6 linked regions of the Daphnia pulex genome follow. The protein of the gene in region 4 purifies or fractionates together with the protein of the main gene of each other region. This does not show direct contact. Links are inferred from orthologs where the notes say so. Each region holds a gene or a part of one and is shown on either strand. Other genes may lie near its edges.

Region 1 (5,103 bases), on a different chromosome or scaffold from region 4:
CAATGTGAATGTCATTCAGTACCACGACGTTACGGTCCGATGTCGAGCCAGTAACATCATAGACTATATTTCCAAAGATAATACCATTCTCCGTCGATGCCACCTTTAATTAATGGATAAATACAGGCATGAAAAACAATTAGTAATAATTCATTTAGTAATAATTAAAAAGAGCATACCTTAACGCTGGCCTTAATGTTGGCGAAATCGTGCGGAGCCAAAATGATAGCCGAAGGCTTTTCTACCAGTTTCAGATCACCGAGAGTTGCCAATTCCAACGTGCAGTTTTGAAGGGTGTCAGCCGTTTGATTGACAATCAAAACATCAAGTACGATGTCGTATTGGTTCACGTTTACGTACGCTTCGGCGTATACAGGATCAGAGAAACCAGTCAACTGCGTCACCTTGTTCAGTTTTGAGACGCTCAGATCTAATCCAGTTCGCTGAGCGGATCCTACCAAAGCTTGCGACAAACTTGATTCAAATACGTCTTCGAGGCCACCAAGTTCATTGCGTGAAAGCAGTTGCTTGAAAGAGACCAAGTCGTCGGCTTGGATTGATCGGCTGTTCTTTTCTAAGTTCTTTTGGGCAGCAGCTTCTTCCTCAGCTTTGGCAGCTAACATAAGTGAAATGGATCTACGGCAGGCATCGGTAAATACTTCTACTAAAATCGGTGATCGATCCGAGAGCACCTATGTCGAAAAAGAAAATTGTAATGGGGGTTCACTCATTTTTTACCATTGATAACTTACCTTAAGGCAAAGCCCCAATCTTTCAGCATCGTCATTGCTAATTGGTTTCTGAGGCAGTCCCGAACGACCCAAATGAAGAATCGCTGCAATCACTAGCATGGCTTCGGCACAAAACTGGTTTTGCGTTTGCGGGTTCGACACTTGTTGAACAAAACGTAAGGCCAGCTTTGTCATAGTTGTAGCCATTGATGCACCAATGAAGAAATCGCCTTCCATCAGATATCTACAAAGAAATTTAATTATGAATGCAATGCTAAATGGAACGACATCAACAGAATTGACATACTTTCGAAGAGGAGGCCTTTCTTCTTTTTTGGCGGTTGTTACGGCAGCACTGAAGATAGACTGCGTAGCGTATGTACCATCTGCAGTTACCAAGCGGGCGCTAGAAGCAACAGGATTAGTAACGCTCCCAGTTCCCTGTGCTAAAGGATTTTCCGGATCGGTCTGCTCTCCTGCTGCTTTTCGGATTTCGTCATCCACGATTGGAATTTCGCCAAGCGATTGTCGCACTTTGGACATAACTGAACGAATGTCATCAGCCGAAGTGGCGTATTCGCCCAAGATCCAAATTGCTGCACGGTGCACCTTGACGGATCTTTGAAAAAAAAAAAAACATCTAATGTAGAATTGCTGCCAGTAAAAACGAAATGGAGTTATTTAAACTTACTTGATGGAAAGAAAGGCTTCTAAAAGTTTTTCGATGATTAATGGACGAAGTCCTTCGAACTTCTGAATCGCTTCGCGAACAAAGACCAAAACATCGGCGGCTGCTAGCTCGTTGGTGTCGGAAAGGAATTCAGTCAGTACAGGGATGACGGTCGCAGAAATGTCAGGAAACTTGATGCAACACGAGTGAAGAGTGCGCACCAAAAGTTGCCGATACTTTCCCGTATCTTCATGCTCGGTTGTGTTGTGCGTCTTTGTTACCTCCTACAAGATAATTCATCAATAGAAAATTATTCCTATCGATTTACCATTTCACCGGAATTCTTACCTTTTTCAAAACGAGCACGATATCTTCTATGTTTCGCGAAGACACTAAATCAAGTATAAGGGATAGTGTCTTCTTTCGTACTTCCAAATCTGGAGTAGCCAATACCCGCAAGATGTCCATCACCAATTCCTGAAATGAATTACATAATTAATATTTTGTAACATGTGAATGATTAAATTCAAGATACCTGCAAGACACGTTCTTGATTCGGCTGCTCTTTCAAGGCGATCAAACGATCCAGCACAATCAACTTCACATTATTGTCGCTTTCCTTTAAGATAATTTCGATGTAGCAACTAGCAGCAGCTGTTCAAGAAGAAGAGAAAACATATTAAGTTGGAAACCCAAATTAAATATTAGTGAATATGAATAATACCTTTAATAGCCGACGGTGCGGACGATAAGGTTACTAGAGTGCCAGCAGCTTCGTAGCGAACGGCCGGACTGGTGGCATTCAAGAGACTGTAGATACAACGAATGAAACGCGATCGCTCACTAGGATTGGCGTGACACACTTTGTAGATAAGTTCAACGATGACCAATTGCAGAATATCACCGAAGGAGTGAACCTAACAGATTTTGTTTTCCTTAAGTTTGTTTGGAAATTGGAAACCTTAAAATAGTTCTATTACTTGATCGATGCAAGAGGTAAGATAGGAGAGCGCCCTTTCTTGGTCAGCGTGAATCAACATCATGAATGCATTACGTTTACAGGACATGTCCTGTTCACGTTCTAGAAAATTGGCAATCAATTCTGGCCCGTCAGGAATGAGGAAATCAAAATTGCGGTAAATTGTGTAAATTGCCAAAACAGCATTGCGTCGAACGTAAGAATGTCGGTGCTCCAAACACGACCTGATCGATGGCATCAACGGTTCTAAGATTTCAGGTTCCTAAAAAGTAAATTACAAAAGATTAGCTTATCAATAAATTAAGGTATAAAAGAAATTGGCTTACCTTAAGCTTGCAAAGAAAACGTAATGTTGATCCTCTAATAAATTCATTTGGATGTTGCAAATCTCTCCTGTAAGCATCACAGACGAGAATCATTTCATGCAAGAGTTTTCCATCTGCTGAAGTCTTTGGAATGATTTCCCAGAATATCAACAGAAGTTTCTTGACATTATGATCCTGAAGTGGCAGCACAAATTTGACCACTGCCATGAGGATTCCTGGAATCTTTTCTCCATTTAAAATTATGTAAATGGCCTTTTTTAAAGCATCAATCTTGGCTTTGATATCTCCAATTTCCAACTCTTTTCGCAGCTGATCTGGAGGTGGATAGTCAGAATCTGGAGTACTGATGAGGGTATAACAAGGTTGCTCAGTCACAGACATCTGTAAAAACAAAACAATACATGAATCGTGAAAACTTGGACCGGTTTACGCTCGATGAAATGTTATTGTGACAGCGACCCGCAACCCATTCGAAATCTATAACGATGGTATTTGTTGAACACTGAATAACGATTCCAAAATGTCGGATGACTTGCCTTGATTTCTTTGTATTACAACGGCTTGTTGTGTTTTCTGTGTGAGCCGTAACTATATGAAACGAAGGAAATTCACGAAACCTTTGACGTTGCAGAATGTCAGAAAATACCCACGTCAGTCGGTAAGCGACAGATCTTAATTCGTAAAATTGACAACCACGCAGCCATGTTGCCATTATGAGTTTTAATTTTGACGTTGTTTTTTTGTTATTTTTATTCAAAATAGATATTCAGTCCCAGCTTGTGTTGGTTTCCAGATTTTCCAGGCATACTCTCTCTCTGTACCATCAAAACAAGAGTTTTTGTGGGTTTCCCGGATAAACAATGTGTCAACTGCCTAGTCATCGTCACCCATGTTTCTCTGAACCACTGTGAACTTCTTCGACACGTTTGAAGCAGGTTTGAAGACCAGCACCAGTCACGTCTCCATCTTCGGCAATGGTCAGTTTGTTTTCAATGTGTAAAGGTATTTTGATGGGAGTTAGTTAGAATTTTTCGTCCATTTAATCGGCAAAGCCTTTAAGAGACGATACAATTTGTTCTTAGTTATTTGATAATAGAAATGTTCGTTCGAAATAGAATGTGCAGATGGCCACAATCTCCATACCTTCACTGCTTCACAATATGCAGATTGCATATTAATCGTCTTGCCATTAATCACAGAAAATTAGAATTGGAAACGATTAGCATCCGAAGGTACTGGCCGTTATATCTCTATTTCGTAGTTACCAGCTTTAATACGTTTAATATGGTCGTTACTTCGTTGGTTCGCTCGGCTCACTGTAGCCTATAGCTAATCGATATTAAATATTTATGTTTTATGTTATTAGCATCAAATGTAATTATGTTTGTTCAGGATACTTTTCATTTATTATTTATTTTCATCGTTTTAAACTAACTGAGGCATTGAGCAAAAGGAATCATGGAAATTTCCGCGACTATCATTGTTGCGTCTACGATGATCTTTCCTTAAAATTTGTTTTTTTTGTGTTGGTAGGCCTTCCATCTAAAAAAAGTTCAAGTATTCAAGTAAAATATCTTTAAATTTTTAAAAAACGTTTTATAATGCAAACATGTTATATTTTCAACGTAAAAGAAATTATCTTATATTTAAAAAAAGCGTGTGGGTAGAATGAGGCCATCCTCACGATAGATAAACATCACGCTTTCCCGTAAGAGGGAAACTAGGGTCTTCTTCTTTTGACGCCACCGGCAATCGGAAAGACATTTGATTTTTTCCTCACAGGCACCACAGAGCATGATGTTACAGCTAGCTATAAAGAAAGACAACTGCTGTTAGTGAACAGACGGCTCCAAGTCATCGGCCAGTATACAAGACTTTCTGATTTTCGAGTTCATTTTTAATTGGGGTGTCGTCATTCGCTGTTGAGAGTTCATCATGCGATTGTTCCTTCTATTTTTAGTTTTTTTGTTTGTATCGCCTGTTTTGTCACATTTCAGTGAAGGTAAGGAATTCACTGAAAAGTCCGTTAATGTCGTAATTTTACCCTTCAAATAACCTTACTCGGAAACTCTCACGCTAAGTTTTCTGATAACTGTTATTGTATTGCTATCGCTTCCAAGTGCCTTGCCCCTTACCATCAAAGGGCGTTAACTGAAAATAATTTCAGTTAAAAAACACTTTGGTTGAGTTTTTAACTGTAAATTTAACTTAAGTTTGTTCATCAAGCAACAAACAAATTTCATTTCATTTTTCTAATACAGAGAAAAAAGACGCAAGTTTGGAGGGCAGCCTAACAATCGAAACATCCGTGATCAATGCAAAGAATGAAACGAAATTGTTACTTCCGGATCTTCAAGTAGAATCAGTCGACGTCAATGTCGAAGAAATTTCATCAGC
Region 2 (4,967 bases), on a different chromosome or scaffold from region 4:
AAGTTAAAATGGAGGCCATAGTGAACTGTAACGGAAAAAAGAGTTGACCTGATGACAGGCAATCGACTTAATTACATATTCTAACGAAGAATTTAGCCCGATTCTTAACACGAATCACATCGAAGAAATACTCAAATGAAAAAGTAGAAACTTACCATGATTCAAGTTGACCGGATAAATGATCAGAGCTCAGTCACGTGTGTATGGCCGGCGCGTGCGAGAAAGATTTAACGAGTCGTTGCACCACCACCTTCAAAGTCTCAGAATCAACTGTTCAGAAAAAAAGCAGAGAGGTCGATCCTTTTCGAGCCGATATCCCATCCACCGATTTCCCCAGGTCTTTTCCTCTCCATTCCTCTTTTCCGTTGGGCCAATCATGGGCGACCAGCAATTTTGAAAAACACTGCGGTCTCTTATGGCAACTCTGTGGGGCTTTGATTTCATTCAAAATTAATTAAGTTAAGCTATTTATAATTCGGAAATTCAAATACATGTTAACTGTAGTCGCGAGATGTTGCGCTTTGAATCGTTAATTACAAGGAATCTGCATTGCATTAATTCATTTTGATTTTTACAATAGTATTCGTTTCCATTTATTTTAAATGCATTCTTCTGGTATCGGAATGGATCAAAATGAACTCGTTCTACTGCTCCTATATCGTGATTTGGAGGGGATAATAAAATACTTTTTCTTTCTCCGAGATGTAGAAGTGTCTAGAGAAAAAAAAATCTGAGTTGCGTAGCTCCTCCTCCTCCAGGGGGAGGAGAAGTCTCTACCACACTCCGTTAGGACGAATGTGACGTGATCTGGTGATCATAATGACACTCGATTGCGTGATCGCAAATCTTAACTGTCGCCTGTCGGACACTCGATGGGTTGAATAAATGAATACAAATAAATCTAATTCATTTCTGTTAACCAGATAAGAATTTTCAATACAATCAGTAGTTTTTATATCCTCTAATTGTATTTAATGTAAAACAGGTACCTTATAATTATTAATTAATGCCCAATCTTTCAGAAATTTAAACAAGAAAATCTGAATCATTTTATTTATTTCATGTCGCTTCTAAGCTATAAGAAACAAAATTTATTGAAAAAAAACGTGACACGATACAACAAAAAAGTTCTAGTCGATTTCGGAGACTCATTTTCGTTGCAAAAGCACTTTCTGTTTCTGTTATTTAGCTCTTGTGGGCATTTTACCAAAATCGCCAAATATAGAATAATGGTTGAAATGGGTTGGCCTGCACATACAGCGAATAAATCCTCTCACTATTTTCCCATTATCATGTTAAGATCCTTTCACAATAGTTCACCGTAGTTTTCGTCATGGGTTCAGCAATCAGGTAATCATAAAGTAAACAATGACAGCCTCAGACTTATACGGAGAAAGTGGTTGCATGCTACAAATTCGACAGATAGACGCAAATTCGTTAACCAACTAAATTCGTTAACCAACTAAATTCGTTTTCGTTAACTTGAACATTTTATTCGGATTATTTTTCGAGTAGCATTAAACAGAAAATACATTAAAAAAAATCCTTTTTGTGTGGACTGGAGTTGAGTAAAAAGGAGTAGTTATGAGATCATTTTCGAGACTTGCCTTGACTAGTTGTTTTGAGTCGTTTTGCCGAATTTCTGATGTCACATGCGAATATGCGATCTTGCCGAACTCAATCGAACATTTTACCCATCATAATGTTGTTTCCTTTGTTTTACTTTGAAAGCAATAACTCAGTGAAACACGCAGAAAATTATGATGCATTCGAATACCAAAATATTTACCGCCAGACATCAATCAGCCATTGCCAGAAACGGGCCCTTGCTTCAGTTTTATTTATTTTTCAATTTGAAAATGGCAACCCTGGAAAAACAGTTGACGATCCACGTCATCTTGTGCCGTCAGTTCTTAGGATCTTGAATCCTCCCTGAAAAGTTGTGGTAAAAGGGGTCCGATAAAGTCTTTAGGAGCCTTTAATCTGCGCAATAATGGTATGATCAACGAACCTAAGTGTTTTTAATTTTATGAAAATATTTACTATGGGCGTTGTTGAAGTTGTCATTGGGGTTGCACAACCGGCCCATCTGACATTTGGCTAAACTTTCGTCTACGTGGATATTTTATTATGATTTCTTCAATAGTGCTTTACATCATCAAAATAACTTAAAACATTTCAATCATATAACTATGATTAACTTTGATTGTTAGGACATGCATTCTAGTATACCAGACTACTTCGGAAAGCTAGCAATACATTTTGATTTCTGAAAGATTGTGTGCTGTATCTTTAGCAACAGTAGCCTAGAAAACATGGGCTTTTAATATCGTTGAAGCAATACCAAGTTGCCAATGTTATTTCGCAACAAAAAATATGTTTGTTGTCATTTCTGTGATTTTGTTCCACTTGTGACACTTGTTCATTAATTTTCATTATTATTCAGGTTCTCATTGCAGCTGCTGTTTGCACCAAGGGTGGAAAAGGTGTGTTGCAAAGTTTTACAAAAATGATGCATAAAATAATAGAAATGACTTTTTTTTTCTCAATTACAGCCTTGGTGTCAAGACAGTTTGTGGAGATGACCAAATCCAGAATAGAAGGTCTCTTAGCTGCCTTTCCTAAACTAATGTCTTCAGGAAAAGCTGCTCAACAACAACACACTTTTGTTGAAACAGAATCGGTTAGATATGTTTATCAACCTTTAGACAAAGTGTATGTATTACTTATCACAACGAGGGCATCCAATATCTTGGAGGATTTAGAAACTTTACGTCTTTTCGCTCGTGTGGTAATAATTTATAAGATCTTCTCATTAGTAGGTTTGCTAACATTAAATTCATGTAGGTACCTGAATATTGCCGCACTTTTGAAGAATCCGAAATCCGGGAAAATGCCTTCAATTTGATATTTGCCTTTGACGAAATCGTTGCTCTTGGCTATCGCGAAAACGTTAATTTGGCTCAAATTCGAACATTTGTCGAAATGGATTCACACGAAGAGAAAGTCTACCAGGCTGTTAGACAGGTTTGGATTTTCTCATTTAAGTAGTTGTTTGGTCTTATTTCACTATTTTTTTCCCCATAAAGACACAAGAACGAGATGCCAAGATGAAAATGCGAGAGAAAGCCAAAGAATTGCAGAGACAGCGAGTTGAATCTAATAAAAGGGGCATCAAGTCTCCCATTTCATCTTCTGGAGGTTACGGGCCATCTCCCATGGCTGCTTCGATTCCGACTGAGCCTCCTAAGCCAACTTATCAACCAGCTGTTGTGTAAGTGAATTCGCTAATTATTTTTCCGCTCAACTAGTTCTTAACTGACAGCGTGGTACTTTTCTTAGAAAACCTAATGGCCCGAGCAAAGCCCTCAAGCTTGGGGGCCGTCTGAAGGACGCCGAAATATTTGTTGACCAACTAAAATCAGAAGGCGAGAATGTAAACTCGTTCCAGTCCCCCGCTTCCGTAGTCCAAGGTGGTTCTGTGAGCTCAAACAAACTGCCGCCATCAACCATCGCTACCGAACCGTAATTTACAATACCTCAATGCTTATTAAAATTTAACGCTTGACTGTAATTTCTTTTATCCAGAGTCCAACTTCGAATAGAAGAAAAGCTTAGCCTCAGTTGTGGACGTGACGGTGGATTACACAACATGGAAATTCATGGCTTACTAACACTTTTTATTACTGATGAGACTTACGGTCGAGTCCGCGTACAGGTAAAATGATTTCCTTTGCATTGTGTTTATTTTCTTTTTTCAAAATTCGACTGATTTATCCATAGGTGGAGAACAGAGATAGTCGCGGAATTCAAATTCAAACTCATCCTAACGTTGACAAGGAACTATTTCGCACTAAGCAGCACATTGCATTGAAGAATGCCACAAAACCGTTCCCATTGAATACGGATGTTGGTGTACTTAAGTGGCGTTTCCAAACACAAGACGAAAATATGATTCCACTGAACAGTAATTCATCATCTTAATTACGTTGTCTGGCAAAATTTAATGATTTAAAAAAAATTATAGTTAATTGCTGGCCAGCTGAAAACGGACGTGGAGGCTGTGACGTTAATATTGAATTCGAACTTCAAGATGATCGATTAGAGCTGAACGACGTTGTCATTGTCATTCCGTTGCCGTAAGACTTTTTTCTATTAGGCTCTAGGTGCAACTCATCATCTTTCGTTTATTCGTGTAGTCATGGTTGCGGAGCACCGAATGTTTCCGAGTGTGAAGGAGAGTATCAGTATGAACCAAGGAAAAATCAGCTTTCGTGGCAACTCCCCGTTGTGGACTCTTCCAATAAAAGTGGAGCTATGGAGTTTTCATGTCAGGGCCATGCGAATGACTTCTTCCCAATCAATGTCAACTTCTATTCGAAGCGCTCCTATGCTGAAATATCGGTACGGTTGCAATCTGTGTTTATTTATTCCATTTGTCTACAATTTTCCCATTTTCGTTGTAGGTAAATGATGTCGTACTAGTAGATGACGGCACATCGGTGAAGTATGCGGCCGATTCCAATTTTTTTACGGAGAAGTACGAAATCCTTTGAATGTTTTGCTTCTGAAATCCGTGGAAGTAGCAAAGTGTTCGTGATTTTGCCAGTTGCCCCTCACCCCCTGTCGTTAGCGTCAACACAAACAAACTGATGAACTCCTTGACTGTCAACTGGAGGAGAGGGGTGAGGAATGAGAAAGACTTTAGGTTACCATCTGTGGTTAATATTTAATGCCAACGTGCAGTTCGTTTTTCCCGTCTCTGAATCGATTCAACCTCCTCAAATTCACCCTTTTTTCTCCCACCTTTCATAACAAAGCAATTTAAAGCGCTGAAGTTTGTTGAGCCGCCCAGTAAATATGATATATTGAAATCTAAAAGTTTTTTCTTCCTTTTTTTCTACGTGCATATATCTTTGAATCAGCAGCGGCACTCATGTTTGGGCGTGTTTTCTTTTCTCTTTTCT
Region 3 (4,935 bases), on a different chromosome or scaffold from region 4:
TTATAGGTTGATTGTTATTATGTTCCCCTTTAGTGGAGTAAGCGTGAAGAAGAAATCCACTTCATCACTACTTCAGGAAGTTGGTAAAGTACCGAATGCAGCCTTCCTTTACATTCACCTTCGTTTTTCATGCATCATGATATATTTAGACTTCCAGATTTATCTGTTATGGTTGTGTTAATATTCATTCCATTTGTGATACATTATAACTGCAAATGAGAAAACGAATCTTTTGTAGAATTTTTTATTGAAGTTCTACAATATATCTTTAAAGAACTATCCAACCAAGAGATGTGTGGGGACACTTAGTAGCCAATTGCAGGAAAAAAGGGTAAGGGCTTAAAACAAGTGATAGGAAGAGAAAATTTTTAGTGAAATATCGCCAACTTGTAAATGATTAAACTCTACAATTCCAGCTGTTTGGGTATTTGATTTCTGCGAACTAGCTTTGGCCAGTCAACAAATTCGGGGCCATTGACCACGATAAAATAAGAAGATGCTACTGCCATGCCCGACCAAAAAAGAAGATACAAAAGGCTTTCGGTGCTCAGTTCTAAGAAGAAAAAAAAAATTTAATATGTTTCTATTAATGAAATCTTTTAATAAATTATTTACCACTCGGGAGCAAGACGGTTACAAATACCATAGTGGCCGCGATACACCAGATTCCGGGAAGCTAGACGAAAAATAACAACATTCCACATAGTAAAAAAAAAAAGAAGTGAAAGGAAAACATAGTAATACGAACCAGTAAATATTTCCAACCACGATCGATACGGGGTGCAAGTCTGCCCTCTTCAACTACATAATTACCAAGAAAGAGGTCGATGGCATCCTGCAGAGGTAATAAAAGATTGTCAAAAGACACAGAAAGGTCAACCAAATGAGATAAATTCGAAGAAAAAGAAATGTACTTGTCGAAAACCATCAGCGAAATTATTCTTGTAGTAGCGGACGAGCGAATTGACTCCATCACGAAGCAAGCCAGCTTTGGTCCTTTTTCCAAGGCGAGTAAAATCAGTTTTTAAGGCTCCTGTACCCGAATACTGAGTCGAAATGACGTCAGCGTGATCGGCCCAAATATTCTTGAATAGACTTTCAAAATCTTGCTGATCTTCAACGCGCTGGCCTTCACTTAAAATGCCGAATTTCTGAAATTAATTCAAGATTGCACAAGACATTTTTTTTTTATAGTCTGGAGTCTCTAATTATTTAAGATAGAAATACCATGAACACTTGTTGAAGGTTTCGTCGGGCTAAGAGACTCTGTAAGACGTTGGTTCTGTCCAAGCAATCAATGCAATTCGTTCGGAAAACACCGTCTTGCTGGCGAACTACTGTTCCATCTTTAAGCAGCATGAAATATACATATTCCTCTTGTTCAGCGCTGACGCGGTCGAGAAGAATACTCAATCGATCGTAGCGCATTTTTCTACACTCGTGATGAAAATCAAAAGCTTCATATCTAATAAGCAATAAAATGTCGACGTTGAATGCAAATTTAACTAGTAGTGCTGTGATAAGATTGGCTTACTTTACAAATGGGCTTCGAAAGCTGTTGATTACATCTGAAAAGGCTTTTTCTAGTTTCCCTTCTGCTCCTTTTTGATCAATCTTAATGTGAAGAAATGTTAAAAAATAGTGATGCAATGAAATTTACTATAATTACTTACCAAGTTTAGGATAACTTGTTTCCCATAATTCAAAACTTGGAAATCGAAATGTCTGGAAAGTCCCTCCAGATGATTAGCGCCTTGTACCGCTTCGGGTTTCGGTTTGTATTTCAGGGTGGGCAATTGAGACCAAAAGATTGGAATAGATCCCCTAGTCTAAAGTGGATAAAGTTTTAGTAACGCACAAGAACACAATAACAAAACTTGTTACCTGAATAAAAGAGCATTTGTCGCCTTGATATTCGATAATTTGTTCGGTTTCAACGTAGTTGGCCACTTGACCCTCCTGATCTACGCCCCTCATGAAAAATCGAGTACCAGCTCTGTAACAGCATCGCCGTGAAATAAGCGTGTAGAGTAATTTCTTCCGGTTAACTGTAACGTGATGGGTCTGAACAACTGTTTTAAAACGGTAATGTTAGAAACTAGCTGGGAAAAATTAACACAGTTTTTTTAGCGGGAATAGAAAGTCAACTCACATCCTAGCATTACAGGTAAAACAAACTTTGCCATCTCCGGCTGACTGACCAGATCACGAATAAGATGACGATTCCAAACAAATCTTTCATCAGCTCTTTCATGTAATGGTATCTGAAAATTAAACACAACACATAAATTAATAGAGAACTTTTTTCAGCTGTTCATGCTGAATTTGACTAACCTGTAAAAATTCTGGCATAGTGTTGTGCAGCCTTTGCAGGGAATGTGTTAAATCATATGTATATGAGAAGTACAAGTGTGGAATATTGAGGACATGCTCAATCATTGCTGTGTACACTTTATTATCTGCAAGCTAAGATCAAAAGTTGAATATGATTATTTCAAATTGAATGAATGTTAATCTAAAGGTGACAAAATTTTACTTGTTCTTCATTGAGATGTAAAATAGTTCTGGCAAACGGTATGATTTCAGTTTCATCAACTTTCCAGATGTCTTGACCATTAACCATTCCAGCCTTTGAACATTTTGTGATGACAACCAGATAGGGGCCAGCGAGAAGACGAATGGTTCCAACAATTCCAAAAATTGATCTGCTCTTTGCAGTACTAGGGACATGTTTTCTACCATCAACTAAACTAAATTCATGGTTGAGTCTATCAATGACCAGAATGTTTGTTGGATTTTGACTGGGTTCAATAAAAAACTGATCGGAAGTTTCGTGCCTGATAACAAATAATCGTGATGAATTATCAATTAAATAAAACCCCATTGAAAATTTGAAACACTTGATACATAAAATAATTAACCACTTACAGTATTAAGCTATCATATACATCCATATTGAAGACTTTGAAGTTTCTTTGAAATTGGCAGTCACCACTTTTGAGCGAACCTCTAAACTTGCAAATTAAAGCTCCACTGCCGATAACTGGGACTGATTACTAGTCTGCTCTGGTCTTCTGTCAAGACGAGACAGGTTTTACCGGTAGGGAAGGGAATATCTAATTTCATTTTACACGACCAATAGATGGCGTTCATTAAAAATTTAATAGAAAATAGAATCACTGATTTGCGAAACTGAAGATTGTATTGACGATTACTTATTACACAATATACGATTAGACACTACATCCCTTTTAAAACTCGAACCCAAAATTATCTATAATTGGCAAGGACTTCCAAGCCAAAGCTGTTTAGTAGTAGAAAACGTAATTTTAAGCATCCCTCTCGCTAACTTACAATGTTCATGGACTTGAGGAATTATGGAAATGAGACGAATTTCATCAGAATACGACAAAAATGCCAAATATTTGAATACAAGCAAGAGAGAGATGCGGATCTCGTTCAGTTCCGGTGATGATAAAAGGGGGAACGCTTAATATTAAGGAGCGGATTACGGGAGGACGAACTTTTGTGGCACTCATCGTTACCCAGACAAAAAATGTTCAAATATTAGGTTTCATGCAGTACACATGACATGGTATGGTGGTGGTGGTGGGAAGTAAAAGGATGAACAGGAGAAGACAGAATCTTTAAACATAGGGAAAAGAACACCACAAAAAAGTATAGAGACTGTACACGTGTTTAAACAGCAGTTGCTTTTGGCGTTTCTTATCAACCGGCCAGGATGCAGTTCATGTGAAAACCGTCTTTACGTACAGTAATGTAATAAGATGGTACTTAAATTTATTATTATTTTTTTAGCTCCATTCACTTCTTTTCATGGTGTTAAGGGAAACAAAATCGTCTCTTCACTAACACCTCTTCCACTCCCAATTCCACGTCACTATTAGTTGACAGGTACAATCGTTTTTTTCCCCAGCCAACTACACGGCAATTGTCTCTCGGTGAATTCTACTGTGAAGGTCCACCTCCGCTTGGTCCTGCTCCGCCACTTGTACCTGCTCATAGAAAAATTCAAACATATTACCAACTGTTATAATTTGCCTTTCATCATGGGTTATAACAGACTTCTTCCAAATTACGCTTCATCGAATTCTTTACGAGAATGAAAATGACATTAGTTTATACGTTGCAAGGAACATGTGTATTGACGGCCACTGATACACTTGAACGTGAAAGTGAATGAAATGACAATGTATTGAAAGTGAAAAAAAAAAAAATTAAGGAGCATGACCTAAGAACTGTGTGTATAGAGGCGGGGAGAAGGAGAGGATGAAGAAGGGACAAAATCAAAGATACACTTCCAGAGAAATGGCGTTCCCTTGCAAGATATTTGTCATTTCCACTCTCGTTAGATTAGATAAAGGGCAAATGGGTTGATGATTTGTATTGGACAAAAAAGGAGGGATGGGATGGGAGATGTGGCTGCCCCACATGTTGCCGTGTTGAACTTGTAAGTAGAGGTGTCAACATAAACAGGTGTGGACAGGGACTATGAACGTAGCGAAAGAGGATAATAGTGGAAGGGTTTTCGTAGCTGGTTTCGGACTGAACATTTGTTGTCATTATTCCCTTCGCAGTCTCCCTCCCTAACCGGTGGATTACAATGGTTTACTCACCGCCTCCTACCGACGTTCCAGGTGGTAAGAGTGTCGGAGAGGTTGACAAACTTGCCAGTCGATTCTGTTCTTTCACAATGGGGTCTACGTACGATTCAAAAAGTAAATATTACAAGAAAATGTCAACTAGCTCAAAGTTTACTGATAACACCACCAAATAAATATTCGCTATGACTAATGCTTCTTTGATACGTATCCCAATGACCTATCCACTTAATCAACTATTGAATATTAAAATGTGTTAAATACTTACAAAAGTAAGGATGATCCATGGCTTCACGAGCCGTGAGCCTCTCCT
Region 4 (4,323 bases):
ATTCTTTCTTTTCCCTATTTATTATTATTGTATTTTTTGTAATGGTGCTTATTGATGTCGAACTCGTGATTTCATTATTTTTTTTTTACGAATAGGAGGAGTAATATTAAGCACTCGCTGTACTGAAACCTACAATTCTCACCGGCCCCGACTCTCAATATGGGGTTTTTCGTTATGGAGTGAACCGAACAATCCTCGGGTTGTCATTCAACCTGGAATTGTTCCAGGGCAGTGCTGGTCTTTCCGTGGCTTCGACGGATATCTGGTGATCCAGCTTTCAAGGAAAATCGTCCCAACGGCTTTCACTCTAGAGCATATACCTCGAAGTTTGGCGCCCGATGGTCAAATCGATTCTGCTCCACGAAATTTCACCGTCTATGTAATTAATATTAGCAAAGCCTTTATTTATTGATTTGTTTAACAAAAAAATGTTTAAATGTATTATTAGGGCCTTACAAGGGAAGTGGACATCGCTGGCGTGGTACTTGGTCAGTATACTTTTGACAATCTTGGCGTGCCGTTGCAAAGCTTTCCAGTTCAGGTATGTTCATTTCTTCTACACAGTTTTAACTAGATGTTAAGAACAATTATTGTTTCTGTAGGCGCATGAACCAGGAGCGTTCTCTATTGTTGAACTACGGATTCACTCTAACTATGGCAACTTGAATTATACGTGCCTTTATCGGTTTCGTGTACATGGCCATGTAGCTTAGAACATCGCCATGTGCCTTACCAGAACCTAATCTGGGAAACAACGACTTATCTCGTCGCTACCTTATCTCTTTTAAGAACTGATAAAATTGTACAAATGTTCGTGGTTACGTCTTCTAATGCTATCCAGAAGTAGAAGTTCCAAATCAACAAGATTTTTTTTTGGAACTCTAGTCTTTCAAGAAAATTGATGTCAAGGTAGAAAAATGGTGCGGTGTGAAAAATGTGCTGTTTTGTTTTTGAATGGTTTAAAAAATTAACTAGCCCTAGTCTGTTTGCTTTGCTTCTACTAACATTGCTGTATGCTTGTATGTCCTTCTAGAAATCTAGTGAAGTCGTTTAACCTTTCTGATTGGTGAATCCGATTTGTAAAATTAAAATAAAGAATAATGAACTGGATATTCTTGTATTATCATCAAAAATCAACATTTCAACATATTTAAGCTGGCAGAGCGTACTGCTTAGCAAGCAAATCAAAATCTCTTTCTTTATTTTGGAACTCAATGACAAAAGGATGTTCGGGAGCAGAATCAATCAACTGACTCAAATAGCGATTACAGACTTCTGGCGTCTTGCTTGATAGCTGGCTGAGCACAACAAGATTCACTAGTGTATCTGTGTTATTTGAATCTTTTTCTAGAGCATCTTGAAGGGCAGACTCAGCTTCTTCATATTTACTTTGACCAATACAGCAAGTAGCCTGACCATTCAACAACAATGCAGTTGGAGCATTCTTGTCAGCCAGCTCTTGGAATGTATAGTATGCTTCTTGCAGCTTTTCACCACCCTTATTAAAGAAAAAATTCAATGTAATCATTCACCCATTATTCACAAATACAACTACATACTGTTGCAAGATTGACCCAGGCAGAAGCAAGCTGTGTCAAAATAGCATCATCATCAATTTCTTGCATGGTTTTCAATTCCTTTCTTGCAAGATCCAAACGATCCATTCTTAACTGTGTTTGCAGCATAAGAGCCCGACTAGTACAGAGAAAATAATATGAAAAACCAAAAATAGAAGTCAAATTAATTTACAATACCATTCTAAGTGGTCTGACTGATGCAGTACTTTAAGGGCAGTTTCATAACTACTTTCATTGTAGTAAATTGAAGCAGCAACAAGAAGAAAGACATAGTTGTTTACATCTAGATTTCCTGAAACTTGTTGATCAAGTTTTAGAACAATAGATTCCCTGCAAATATTGTAATATTTCATTAACTTGAAACTTATTACATAGAAATAACAAAAATTACCTCTTACTAGGCTGAGAAAAATACTCTGCCAATTGTTTCAATGGCTGAAGTTCTTGTGGAGAGGCTCCATGTATTTCATTGATGACAACACCATATTTCTTTAGAGCAATATAGGCTCGATAGACAAATACGTCACGTTCAAGCTTCAGAACAGGGTTATTTAACTGGAAGTAATTTAAATATGTTAAGGAAATCAATATGAATTTGAAAAACAAGATAATGTACCTTCAGCTTCTGAGCTTCATTGATAGCAGACTGATAATTTCCAATATAAAATTGTGTTTTAACTTCAAAAAGCTCATCGGTTTCTCCCTGCTGTTCCGGCATTTCACTTTGATAGAAATTAAGATCTAATATCCAATATTAAGGCTGCTGTCGAATTGACAATTGAAAAAAATTCACTTTAATTTCTTGCTGTTGCAGTCGTCTTTTGACGTGTCAAACCCTTACACAGTTGCCTCTAAGTAGTAGAAGACCAGTAGAAGACTCGGAAGACTTTTCCGTTATCAAGGCCTATTCATGTTCGGTATTTATTTTTTAAATTGAATTTTCGTTGCATTCAAATTTTAATTTGTTTCAGAATCAAAGTAATTAGTTTTTTTGGAATTTAAATTTTATTAAGTTACTCATTTTCATAAACCGGCAACACTGCTTACGCATTTAGCAACTGTCAAAACAAAACAGAAGCACTCTGACAGAAGTTGAGAAGTAGATATCTACAATAACAAAAACCGCATATTTATATCAGATCGCTCTTGTTGTAACACTATGCACATGCCAGTGGTATTTTTTTTATGGTTTTTCTATTAAGTGTTCAAGTGTTATAGGAAAATTTATTCAATCTGAACGTTTGCAATGGAGAGTACAACTACAACTTCTTTGAAGCATGTTGATCCAGATTGGTACAAAACAGTCGAAGGAGAAAGAATTGTACAACAACTTTACCACCCAATAAATACGAAAGTTCGAAAGCATTTTGGTAATTAATGGTTTAATGCATATCTCCATTAAATGTATCAATTTCATTTTATTGGTATAGGAATATTAGAACATCCGAATGTTACACCAGGAACCCCAGAAATTATGTTCAAAATAGGTGTACTGGGCAAAGCAGGAAGTGGGAAAACAAAAACCATTTCAGTTTTATCTGGGAAACCAGCAGTTTTTCCAGGATACATAGAAACTATAGGAATTCATGTAAAAAATATTTATTGGCCAGCACAAATACAAGCAAAAACCTGCTTGTTTAAATTACAGTTTTGGGAATCAGGAGAATCATGTTCAAAAAGATATAACTACATTTCAACAGTAAGAAAAACACATATCATGATATCAACTTCAAATATTGAATTGTTTTGTCATTTTTTTCTTTTTTCAGGCATGCATGGAAAAAACTGATGCAGTGGCCATAGTAATAAATAGAGCTGATCGAACATCTTTGGACTATGCCGATAGTAAACTTGACTCTTTGTCTCGGCTAAATTCTACTGTAGTGTTATTTGTAATGGATACTGAACACGACGTTCAGGTTCATGATCAAGAACTAAGCCAGTATGCAAGAAGAAGAAGGCTCCCATTTTTTCATCTTCCTCCTCATACTCTAGATATTAAATACTTTGCACCATTCTATAATTCCTTGTGTGATTTTGTATATTCTTCTCAACATAAAGTTATGTCAGATACTCTTTAATCTAAAATATTAAATGGTCTGTCCAAGTTTTCAAGATTGTTGTTTTAGATTGTAACTTAAATGCCTAGTATTACTTACATAAATTTTATATTTGATTAATACATTTCTATATTCAATAAGTGAAAACTGTTCAGCTACGACAGAAGGAATCTGATTCAAAGATACATTCACGAACAAACGAAAGCAAAACCACCCAATTTTGCAGGTTTCAAATTTGGCGCAAAATTAAAATTTTTGTCCAAGTGTATTTTAAATTTTTACCAAGTGTATTTCGTGGTGTTTACGACACACACAAAAAAATTATTCTCTATATCGACTTGGCCACCTTTTGCAAGTTCTACTTCTATAGTCAATCGGCAAATCGGTATAGCGAGTTTTTAGTTATTAAAGTTTCTTTCTGAATATTGATTCTAAAGTGTCCCCGGGATTTCGGTGCAATTGGGAGTTTCCATGTTGAAGATTCAGAAATCAGAAAGTTTTGTTTGAAATCCAAAGAAGTCTGTATTAGTTCCAACGTAAATTTGTTAACTGACCGCATCAGTACTTCATCGGATGTAGAACATGATTGGCAAAATTTAGAAGTGTCAAGATATTGTATGATCCTCAAATCACCAGACAGAAAGTAGCGATAGTGATTACTTTTTAATGCTTTCCTTTGATTGGAC
Region 5 (5,123 bases), on a different chromosome or scaffold from region 4:
AACGTTGTTCATGCCAGCTCCAATTGCGTCATCGCCTAATCGCTGCACCATTTCGGCATTACCTGAACATTCAACATATTAACTATCTGAACAAAGGACGAAACAATGTAAAATGACATACCGGATGCTGTAGCCAAAAGTAGGAGTCCTCCGAAATCCTGTGCCTTGTGAAGACACTCTTGAGCCAACTCAAACTGACATTTGGTTGTGGCCAGATCAGCAAGTTGTTTCCACTTGTGCTCACTCTGAGCCTCGCAGGCTAGTTGGTAGGCCAGTTGCAATTGACCAAGCTGAAGTGACAGTTCGAAGCGATGCTCAGGATCAGCGGAGACTGCCAATGCCTGTTCTTTGAATCCCTGCTTCTCAAGAAAATGAGCCACTCGAGTGCGTTGCTCTTTGGGAACCGACGGGAGCACTCGGTCAGCTGTTTCGAAGTCTCGTCGCATAACTGCGGTTTGATATTCAAGCACCGAGAGTTGCAGGCCGTAGGAAACTACATTTAGCTCCTTGTCGCCCAAGTAAAGACTGTTGTCCTTGGGAATGTAGCCCAACAAGTACATCACTCTGGAAACAAAAGTTACACATGGGTTTAATAGTATCGGTTTGATTATTGCAAGAATGGTGAACTTTCAAGCCATACCTGTCGAGATGGGCCACTGTGACAATTTCCCCACCGACGTAATAATTTAATCGGTTGGCACTGTTGGTGTAGATAAAGCAATCGCCCACCCAAAGTCCCGTCTTAACACTTTCTTGCACTTCAGATAACATTTCGAACGCCGTCTAAACATTCAGAAAATATTTTTTAAAAATGTACTAACACTTTGTCTTTAAATAAAATCACCTCAATTCCGGCATCGTCGGTCAAGCCTTCTTTGGTTTCAAGGCTTTTGGCCACGGCATCAGCATCATAACGCAAAACAAAATAGCTGTCTTCGGTAGAAATGCAAACTAATTCACCATTTTCCGACCAATACACACCACGTGGCTGGATCTCAATCCGACGAATCAGTGTCAGATTGTCCCATTCGTAAAAAGCTAAGCTGTTGGTAGACCGGACCCCAAGCATTGCTCCACCAAAGATTCCTGTGAATGTAAAATTTTAATTAGAATCAATATTTCATTCTGTTTTCAATTACTATGCACAATATACCTTCGGCTCCCAGCTCTGGTTTGAATTGTTTCTTTTCCTTGAAGTTCTTAAAAACTTTGACCGACGTGGCACTTTCACGAACAGCATACTCGGATGAGTCCACTGCCCACACAAACTCCAAAGCTGAACCGAAAGCTTTGTTTCGCAGAGCCATAGCTGTATAGATGATGTACTCGCCGTCACCACAAACAACGACGAATCTATTATGAAACGGAATTTTATTATTTACTGGTTTCTATGCCATGAGCAGTTAGCAAACATACCTTCCGTTTGGATTGTGAGCGACAGTTTGAGGGTAAATCTCGCATGCACCCATATCCTTGATGGCAAGAGGAAGACGTTCTCCATCCTTGATCTCCGAGTCCGGCAGCGCTTTGAGATTGGCCTGCTGGATCTCTGAATGTTTGGCCCAGATAATTTTACCGCTTTGATCCATGGACATTGCAGGTTCCTCTCGGCCCAATTTAATCATGATAGATCCTTCATCGTAGCCCAAAGCGATGTTATTAGACCCAGGCAAACAACAAATGGTCCAGACACGCTCCAGCCCATAATTGAGAGTAGTCTCCAACCGGTAGGTATTTGAATGCCATACTCTACGATTTAGAGAAAATAGTATACTTGACTAAAAAATAAATAAAGAGAATAATAAATTTACCTGACTGTTCCATCTTCAGATCCAGTAAGCAGAATTGGAAGTTCGGGGTGGAAGGCAACAGAAGAAATATTCTGTGCATGCCCTTCCAAAGTTTGGACGCAGGTTTTATTCTGGTAATCCCAAATTTTAACAAGCCGATCATCTGCACCTGAAATTAAGTAAGGTTTGTCGCCGGCGTGGTAATAGTCGACGCAATTTACTCCTTTCTCGTGGCCTTCAAGAGTGAAATTCGGTGTGTTCGAGCCCAACTGCCAGACCTGAATGAGGGACCGTAATAAATTGATTTTAAGTTAAATTTCTGGCAAAATATTTTCGTAAAAACATACCTTGACTGTTCTATCAAGAGATGCAGTAGCAAATGTATTGTTATCTTTTGGATTGATGACAATCTGCATAACATAATGGGTGTGACCCTCAAAGACTTGTTGGCATGCCCAGTTCTTTTCCCAATTCCACAACTTAATTGACATATCATCTAAAATGAAGAAAGACTGTATGAACACTGAATCTGTTAGAAAAACAGATTATTTACATACCACTGCTAGTTAATAGAAAGGGTTGAGTGGGGTGCACAGCAATGCAACGAACATAGTCTGAATGAGCTTCAAATGCTGTCACACGATCAAGTGTGTTGTAGTTGAACACTCTGACCTGGAACAATTTAAAGAGGATTAAACTATATCTAATCTGAAATGGATAAGACATCAAGAAAACTATACCTGCATATCATCAGAACCACTAACAACCCAGTTTTTCCTTGGGACAAACTTGACAGCACGAACAGGCAGGTCACAAACCTACAAAAGGGCAAGTAATGGTCAAGTCATTAAGGAAGAATTCAATGAAGTACTCATTTTACCTCAAAAGATTTGATGATTTGTTGTGATTCATGGTTCCAAATATGCACATTTCCATTATACAAGGAGGCCAACATCCATGGCTCTGTTGGATGCAAGTCGACACTTTTCACGCGATCCGAACGGGCGGTAAGCCTTCTCTTGATATCTAGTTTCAGCGGCTATAAAAAATTATAACATGAAATTAGCTCAATAATTGTTATGATTTAAACAAGTAGTATTAATGTTAAACCATTTTGTTGTGAGGATTGTTGAATAGTTCTACTACGTGGCCGGTTGATCTGTCATCACTGGGGGAGGAGTGGAGCACAAATAAACATTGCCAGATAGAATCATTAGCCAAAATACTAAATTGCTTCTTTTCTATCAGCTTTTACTAATATTGTGTGACCTCGTCGGGAGTGTAATTTTCAAAACTATTATGAGCTATTTATTCTATACATTTTAAGCGTACCCTGTAATAATTCAAAATTTGTTAAACTATTTCGACAGTGGCAACATCACATCAGTTCAAAACAAACTGCCCCGCACAATTTATCAATGGAGACAGCCACGATCATTATTCGAGTCATCCGGTCGTTTGAATATCGAAACATTCGCAATGTGGTTTTAAAGAATGTACCACTTTCCCTTACAACTGAAGAGTTGAAAACTAGAATAATTCAAGAGTTGGGTGTTGCTCCGGGACTGCCACCACCTTTTCGAAAATACGAATATGACACTTTGAAGGTTATTTGAATAACATCTTACTGCTATTTTTATGTATTTGTTGTTTTTTCTATGGTTTTCTACAGATTGAGCACCATGCACATGGAGCTAAAACAAATGATCCTGTCATTAACCACGAGAATGATGAAGGTCTCATCCTTAAAGCGGAAAGGACACTCAAGGAGAGTGATGTAAGACATGAAACTGAAATTTCATTCTTCAAATATGATGATTACATGTCATACAAAAAAAATCCAGTTTTAAAGATTGGATCAAGATAATGAATTAACTGCTGAAAATTTTTGCAATTCATTTTTCTTGATTGCCTGAAACAAGCAATCCTCAGGGAATTACTTGGGGTCTTTTGATTCTTATTTTTAATTTTGATGATACAATTGTGAATAATACACCACATTTTTCCTTCATCCATATATTCTGGAATAATATGTTTCAAATTTTCAATCATCACCTAATTGTCAGATAAACACTGTTGCAAAAGTTATAGCAGACGAAATTAAGTTGCAAAGGTGAATTCAAAACTCGAAAGCGTCGGATGCTATGTTCTTGTTGGTGTTAAGAGAGTGGCCTACTTGTTGAAATAATGGATCAATAATTTCGAAACTATGAAATGACAATCCAACACGATGGACAGATTGAAAAAATGCTGGGAAGGAATTTTACAAGAAAGAGATAATTTTTGGAGTTCCTTCTTCACTAAGGTATTTTAATGTCAAATTCTCTTCAAAGAGCTATGCAGACCTGATTCTAACTCTTGCGATTTATACATACTACTCTAGTACCAAGAAGACAAAAAAGACGTGGATTTTCGATCTTATTTGGATAATAGTTCGACAAGGATTAATACTGTGCTGGAACTAGCAGCTGAAGAGAATAAAGAGTCTGCTGGGGCTTCGAAAGGCTCGGTTAAAAAAGTGATACAGCACTTTGAAGAACAGTCTAGTGAGTCATCAGAAACATATTCTAATGAAGTGGCTACTTCATTGAATGAAAACCAAGGTAAGATAACATTTTAAGAGTACAAAACAAAATTTAATATTGTGCCATATTATTATTCACAGAACAAGAAAACTTAAAATCTGATGAGCCTTCAGTAATATCAGTGAAGAAAACTGTGCCTACATTAGTTGTGAAAGCTATTCCAGCAAAGCAAAAAATTGATGCTCAATATTTGTTAACAAAGAACTCACCTAATTCAGTCAACAAATTAATTTCCGAGTCTTCAAAGAGCTCAGATTCTACAGTGTTACAGTACTTTAAAGAACAATCTAGTGAGTCATCAGAAATATATTCTAATGAAGTAGCTACTCCATTAAATGAAGAAAAAGGTGATTCTTATTCAAGTAAAAAGAAAAAAAAATGATTTTAATGTGCTCTATATTGTTCACAGAAGAACAAAAAGTTGAAAACTTAAAACCTGTCCAGCTTCCAGCAGTATTAGTGAAGAAGAGTGTGCCCAGATTTGCTCTGGAAGTTAATCCAGAGAAAGAGAATGCAAAATGCAAATCACATTCACACAAAAAATTCATTTCTGAGGCTTTAAAGGGCTCTGATTTTAAAGAGTTACAGGACTTAGAAGAACCATCTATTAGTGAGTCGTCAGAACCATATTCTCATGAAATAGCTACTCCATTAAATGGAGATCAAGGTGAAATAACATTTATTGAATATTTTTAACAATTTTTATCTTATTGTGCTGTATATTGTTCACAGAAGAAACAAAATTTGA
Region 6 (4,441 bases), on a different chromosome or scaffold from region 4:
ATCCGAAAGAGAGACCCACTTTCAGTCAAATGGAGGAGATTATCTGCAGTCACATGGAGTCGTCTGTCAGCTCAGACTATTTGAATATGAACGCGTTGTATGTAAAACTCAACGAAGATAAGGAAAACGCAACGCCAAAGGATCATTTTGGATTGGCAAAGTTGTTGGTAGAAAAATCAGGAGCTCAATCCAAGAGGGACACGACCGCTCGATATTCATTTTTACCTATGCTGTTCTCAAAAAAAGATGCTGATTCCGATCTTTAGCCAAACACTGATCAATCTGCTATCAATAATCGATTAACTAGGCACAGAGCAATCCACTTTAATATGAAGTTATTGCGTTATCATTTGATTTCTATTTTTGTCGAATTTTACCGCCTTTTCCTTTCTTTGTGGCTATTTGAATATGATCGCGCTGTATGTTATAAACTCAACGAAGATAAGGGAAACGCAAGGCTAAAGGATCATTTTGGATTGTCGAACTTCGAAGTTGTTGGTAGAAAATTCTGGAACTCGACCAAAAAAAAACAAAAAAAAAAAAACACAACGATTCGTTACCGATCCTTTTCAATTGGGTCGATTAAATCACCGCTTATCGCTGATAGATCAACGGAGCGAAAAACTGATGCGCTCTGTCCAAGCCTGGAATTCAATATCGTTATAAAGACACGACGAGTGAAACGTTTTTTTTTTTTTTTTTTTTTTTACCTTTTAATCGACGAAAGATTGACGTTATCAATAACTTCGAAATGAACTGGCAAACTTTAGTTGGTGTAATGCTGTACTTAAGCTGTACTGTAAGAGAATAACGTTCTATCCGAATTAAAACCAAGAACATTTCACCTAAATTACAGTGCAACCTGAAAAATATTGGAAATTCACATCTCTGTTGTGATAGAAACAAATTTCTTTTGTGCTTTCATTCGTTTGTAAACCCGAAGTAAATGTCAGAAAAAGGCAAACTATTCTTTGATGAATGAAAACAATCTTTTAAAGATCGCTGTAAAATACCAAGCACACCATCAGGTTATATAATGCGTGTTACAAGTTACAAAAAATTTAATTTCTAATACGGTGGATTGATTTTAATTATTTATCTGCTATTTTGATAAAGATGGCATCAACAGAACAGATTTGTATTTTTTTTATAGAACAACTTGGAAAAGGAGAAAAATAATGATAAGGATGATTCAACGACCGGAATTTATTGTGGTTGAAATAGTTTAGATCCTTATTTCAGAAGAGACCATTTTAGCTGCTCCTTTGCCGATTGAAGCACCTAAAAAATCAGACGGAAATAATTAAAGAATTTATTGATCTTCTCCCTTAATTATAGTAATTTTTAAAATGTATATTGTTTAGTTTAGAAGTAGCTGCTGGAAAATGAAAATTTCAAACTAATTTCAATTTTAAATTTAATTAAATTGAAAAAAACCTTATTTAAATATCTGATTAAGTAGTTAAGTTATCAAACATACCTGGGCCACTGTCTGCTCCCCAATTGGAATGTCATCATTCCGAAGAGCTACTCTGTATGATATAGCAGTGGGATCTGATTCCAGAATAATCCTGCAACACAATAGTAAACTGGTAATAGTATCTTGATAAACTTGTCATGATTACATGTTTGAATGGAAACCATACCCAGAATCACATATTTCATCCAAAGCAAGCATAACCACATCAAGATTTTCCATTAGAGAACGCTTTTCCACATTCTTTCTAAGTATTTGGCTGATGGAATCATACAAGCAGTTTAAAACACTAACCAAGATCAACTAAATAAGGGGAAAAAAATTCCAATTTACTAATATTTTGTGAACAACTTGTGAGCATCTTTTACCTCATTTTCATGGCTACTTCCCATGACATAAAAATAAAGATCCACATTGCTTTTGTAGACACAAGTCATGTTTTCTAGCATAATGATTTCCGTGTTAGCTCGGTGTGTTTTGTTGAATAGGTTTTTTTCAAAAACCTTCTGTTCTTTTGCAGTGGGTAATGTGTTTGGGTCATAGTACTTTGCAAGAATACGTTTACCATCATTGTCAAGGATTGCAATTCCTTTAATTACATACAGAGAAGGTTCCTAAAGAAATTTTATAAAAATGTATCATTTTGTTGTTGGTCTGACACAGCTGATTAAAGAAAATGTAGTACTAGAAGTAGCTATATTACCAGGACATGGTTATCCATTTCTTTATACAATATGCAATACACCACAACACAAGAGCTAAGAGAAATAAGATGAACCGTTGTACAGACGGGTGAATGAAAATGTTCCGTTCGAGATGTTGATGAGTTGTTCTTACTTGACAACCGGTAGTCCTGTATGCTACGTTGGCAGTTTCTTTCGCGTAGTATCGCCATGGAGTACTTCAACTAGAGTACGATTCTTATGTCGGTAAGAAAATTATATTAACCATTAAAAAAATTAACTTATAAATTTTATAAATTTCCTATACTGATCACAAACCATTAACGAGATAAATCTATTTTTGTTTTAAAAGATACGGGAAAAAGCAAAAGGGCCAGTCGTTAGCGCCATCTAGGAACTGCTTGTTGAGTATAAAAGATAAACAAACTGGACAGTGCGGCAACGCAGGATAGCCAGGAAAGAAGAGAGGGGGAGAAGGACCTACCCAGACAAAGGAATAAGAGAGGGGGACTCAGTGCTGTTGACGATTGTGGCTAGGCGAGTAGCAATACAAAGCGTTCTTTGCAGCAAACAGGTTCACGTGTTAATTTCTATATCAACAGGTTATGGGCCCAGCTGTACGCACAGCTAACAGCTACTCTGTCTGAACAATTATTTTTTTTGTGTGTGTCCCCGGCTAACTGTTCCCAAGAAATTAGAAATTCTTTTCTGGAGTGATGGAGAAAGATGGCCGCCGCCATGTTGTATGGTGTCTGAATGGGAAAAACTACGCGTCTTGGAAATTTGGAATGAAGCTGGCGTTACAAAGTGTTGAGCTTTGGGAAGTCGTGAACGGGACTCAACGGCAACCTGCTGAAGTAAGTTTATTGATGATTTATTGTTTTCTTTATGTGTGTGATCCGTGCCTGACAACAACGCGATATGAGATGCCTATCTGTGGCGTGGTACCAACTATTAAATTGACAAACTTAGATCCCGGCGTGAGTGCTTAATCTCTGCCACTTGATTTTGTTTTTTGTGTGTTTGTGTTTGCTGGACATTTCTCTTTTTTTGTGTTTCTTTCTCAATCTGTTTGGTCACTCTGGCTAAATTCCATCATATGATGGTGGACAAGTGTGTGCTAGAGTTGCAAGCATCTAGGAGACAGCTGAGTGTTTTTCCACATCGAGATGATGTGAGGGAGATTCCACATTGAGATAATGTGAGAGGTATTCCACATCGAGATGATGTGAGGGAGATTCCACATTGAGATAATGTGAGAGGTATTCCACATCGAGATGATGTGAGGGAGATTCCACATTGAGATAATGTGAGGCTGCCATGGATATCACAAACCTAACCATCTTCTCGTTTTGTTACCACAATCAGAGACGCAATGCTGACCAGGTGATTGAAAATGCAGCTGATATAACCAACTGGAACAAGAGAAATACCACGGCAATGCAGAACATATTTGGCGCCATCAAAGAAGACCAATCAAGGATCCTGATGTCTTGTAGCACAGCCCAAGAGATGTGGATGAAATTGGAGACTGAGTATGAAGAAGATGCCGCAGACAATGCACCTCTATTGTGGACAAAGTTCTATGGATGCACATTTCGACCAAGCCAAAGTGTATCAAGCTTCCTGACTGAGTTGGAACAGATAGCATTCCGTCTGAAGAGCCTCAACATAGCTATTGATGATAATCAAATAATGGCAAAGATACTCATGTCGCTTCCTCCAGAGTTCCGTGTTTTTGCCTTTGCATGGGACAGCACGCCTGTTGCAGAGAAAACTCTCAAGAAACTGACTACTCGCCTTATAGCATTGGACAAGAGCCTGCGCAACGACGAAGAAGCAAAATCGACATCTGATACTGCCTATCTCAGTAAGCCGAACAGAGATGAATCACAGCACAAAGAGCAAGCACTTCCTGCCCAGTACGGTCAGAACAAAGGAAAAAGCCACCCTTCCAGTCAACATGCTGGTATACCGAGAACATGCTGGGAGTGCAACTCCACTACGCATGTTAGAGCTCAATGCCGTCAATACAAACGCCGGCGTGAGAGAGAAGGAGAAGAAGCGGACAGAAAAAGGAAGCGTTACGATCGACATGACAGAAGAGATGATAAACTATGTAAGCTCCCAGGAGCAACTGGCCGATGCACTCACGAAACCCCTGGCTGCTCCACGCTTCAAGTATCTCCGTGACAAGATTGGCGTTCGGGGTGTAGGGGAGGTGTAACTGAAGAGTTAAAGGAGGCTGATATTTCTTTTCTTATTATTTGTCTTGTGACAC

Evidence for each region.
Region 1: the proteins of coatomer subunit epsilon-like (region 4) and coatomer subunit beta-like purify together in Homo sapiens (affinity purification with mass spectrometry; 6 studies listed by BioGRID and IntAct, with this or other methods). This does not show direct contact. The link is inferred for Daphnia pulex from reciprocal best matches to the Homo sapiens genes COPE and COPB1.
Region 2: the proteins of coatomer subunit epsilon-like (region 4) and coatomer subunit delta-like purify together in Homo sapiens (affinity purification with mass spectrometry; 4 studies listed by BioGRID and IntAct, with this or other methods). This does not show direct contact. The link is inferred for Daphnia pulex from reciprocal best matches to the Homo sapiens genes COPE and ARCN1.
Region 3: the proteins of coatomer subunit epsilon-like (region 4) and phosphatidylinositol-3-phosphatase SAC1-like purify together in Homo sapiens (affinity purification with mass spectrometry; 4 studies listed by BioGRID and IntAct, with this or other methods). This does not show direct contact. The link is inferred for Daphnia pulex from reciprocal best matches to the Homo sapiens genes COPE and SACM1L.
Region 5: the proteins of coatomer subunit epsilon-like (region 4) and coatomer subunit beta'-like purify together in Homo sapiens (affinity purification with mass spectrometry; 4 studies listed by BioGRID and IntAct, with this or other methods). This does not show direct contact. The link is inferred for Daphnia pulex from reciprocal best matches to the Homo sapiens genes COPE and COPB2.
Region 6: the proteins of coatomer subunit epsilon-like (region 4) and coatomer subunit zeta-1-like purify together in Homo sapiens (affinity purification with mass spectrometry; 3 studies listed by BioGRID and IntAct, with this or other methods). This does not show direct contact. The link is inferred for Daphnia pulex from reciprocal best matches to the Homo sapiens genes COPE and COPZ1.

The regions. Positions count from the first base shown.
Region 1 is NC_060020.1:2,118,044-2,123,146, forward strand, and holds the start of coatomer subunit beta-like, read right to left. Parts: upstream 3,395-5,103; 5' UTR 3,243-3,394; intron 3,088-3,242; coding exon 2,707-3,087; intron 2,643-2,706; coding exon 2,382-2,642; intron 2,319-2,381; coding exon 2,126-2,318; intron 2,056-2,125; coding exon 1,937-2,055; intron 1,879-1,936; coding exon 1,750-1,878; intron 1,686-1,749; coding exon 1,423-1,685; intron 1,351-1,422; coding exon 1,039-1,350; intron 976-1,038; coding exon 753-975; intron 693-752; coding exon 180-692; intron 104-179; coding exon 1-103. Other genes in the region: uncharacterized protein LOC124192347, read left to right, coding at 4,642-4,708, 4,968-5,103. UniProt on the Homo sapiens protein: The coatomer is a cytosolic protein complex that binds to dilysine motifs and reversibly associates with Golgi non-clathrin-coated vesicles, which further mediate biosynthetic protein transport from the ER, via the Golgi up to the trans Golgi network.
Region 2 is NC_060022.1:6,328,301-6,333,267, forward strand, and holds the start of coatomer subunit delta-like, read left to right. Parts: upstream 1-1,858; 5' UTR 1,859-1,993; coding exon 1,994-1,996; intron 1,997-2,446; coding exon 2,447-2,486; intron 2,487-2,555; coding exon 2,556-2,791; intron 2,792-2,847; coding exon 2,848-3,027; intron 3,028-3,089; coding exon 3,090-3,274; intron 3,275-3,342; coding exon 3,343-3,525; intron 3,526-3,588; coding exon 3,589-3,718; intron 3,719-3,783; coding exon 3,784-3,967; intron 3,968-4,027; coding exon 4,028-4,139; intron 4,140-4,199; coding exon 4,200-4,404; intron 4,405-4,466; coding exon 4,467-4,556; 3' UTR 4,557-4,967. Other genes in the region: uncharacterized protein LOC124195439, read right to left, coding at 156-158. UniProt on the Homo sapiens protein: Component of the coatomer, a cytosolic protein complex that binds to dilysine motifs and reversibly associates with Golgi non-clathrin-coated vesicles, which further mediate biosynthetic protein transport from the ER, via the Golgi up to the trans Golgi network.
Region 3 is NC_060026.1:14,680,451-14,685,385, forward strand, and holds phosphatidylinositol-3-phosphatase SAC1-like, read right to left. Parts: upstream 3,090-4,935; 5' UTR 2,955-3,089; coding exon 2,929-2,954; intron 2,838-2,928; coding exon 2,537-2,837; intron 2,467-2,536; coding exon 2,335-2,466; intron 2,265-2,334; coding exon 2,153-2,264; intron 2,073-2,152; coding exon 1,885-2,072; intron 1,830-1,884; coding exon 1,674-1,829; intron 1,615-1,673; coding exon 1,535-1,614; intron 1,466-1,534; coding exon 1,228-1,465; intron 1,152-1,227; coding exon 915-1,151; intron 836-914; coding exon 749-835; intron 677-748; coding exon 616-676; intron 554-615; coding exon 405-553; 3' UTR 229-404; downstream 1-228. Other genes in the region: protein SAND-like, read left to right, coding at 34-87; casein kinase II subunit alpha, read right to left, coding at 3,970-4,016, 4,638-4,721, 4,891-4,935.
Region 4 is NC_060018.1:6,870,675-6,874,997, reverse strand, and holds coatomer subunit epsilon-like, read right to left. Parts: upstream 2,451-4,323; 5' UTR 2,296-2,450; coding exon 2,194-2,295; intron 2,133-2,193; coding exon 1,969-2,132; intron 1,908-1,968; coding exon 1,755-1,907; intron 1,696-1,754; coding exon 1,560-1,695; intron 1,499-1,559; coding exon 1,151-1,498; 3' UTR 1,102-1,150; downstream 1-1,101. Other genes in the region: uncharacterized protein LOC124208207, read left to right, coding at 96-379, 449-541, 603-713; ciliogenesis and planar polarity effector 2-like, read left to right, coding at 2,824-2,947, 3,008-3,276, 3,347-3,658; RNA exonuclease 4-like, read right to left, coding at 4,294-4,323. UniProt on the Homo sapiens protein: The coatomer is a cytosolic protein complex that binds to dilysine motifs and reversibly associates with Golgi non-clathrin-coated vesicles, which further mediate biosynthetic protein transport from the ER, via the Golgi up to the trans Golgi network.
Region 5 is NC_060017.1:7,291,583-7,296,705, reverse strand, and holds the start of coatomer subunit beta'-like, read right to left. Parts: upstream 3,069-5,123; 5' UTR 2,904-3,068; coding exon 2,901-2,903; intron 2,830-2,900; coding exon 2,671-2,829; intron 2,609-2,670; coding exon 2,531-2,608; intron 2,463-2,530; coding exon 2,348-2,462; intron 2,287-2,347; coding exon 2,138-2,286; intron 2,069-2,137; coding exon 1,812-2,068; intron 1,750-1,811; coding exon 1,417-1,749; intron 1,354-1,416; coding exon 1,154-1,353; intron 1,087-1,153; coding exon 845-1,086; intron 784-844; coding exon 641-783; intron 565-640; coding exon 122-564; intron 63-121; coding exon 1-62. Other genes in the region: uncharacterized protein LOC124197376, read left to right, coding at 4,021-4,095, 4,174-4,393, 4,456-4,722, 4,785-5,042, 5,108-5,123. UniProt on the Homo sapiens protein: The coatomer is a cytosolic protein complex that binds to dilysine motifs and reversibly associates with Golgi non-clathrin-coated vesicles, which further mediate biosynthetic protein transport from the ER, via the Golgi up to the trans Golgi network.
Region 6 is NC_060024.1:1,294,126-1,298,566, forward strand, and holds coatomer subunit zeta-1-like, read right to left. Parts: upstream 2,563-4,441; 5' UTR 2,373-2,562; coding exon 2,181-2,372; intron 2,092-2,180; coding exon 1,846-2,091; intron 1,781-1,845; coding exon 1,647-1,780; intron 1,572-1,646; coding exon 1,481-1,571; intron 1,282-1,480; coding exon 1,234-1,281; 3' UTR 1,125-1,233; downstream 1-1,124. Other genes in the region: fibroblast growth factor receptor 2-like, read left to right, coding at 1-266. UniProt on the Homo sapiens protein: The coatomer is a cytosolic protein complex that binds to dilysine motifs and reversibly associates with Golgi non-clathrin-coated vesicles, which further mediate biosynthetic protein transport from the ER, via the Golgi up to the trans Golgi network.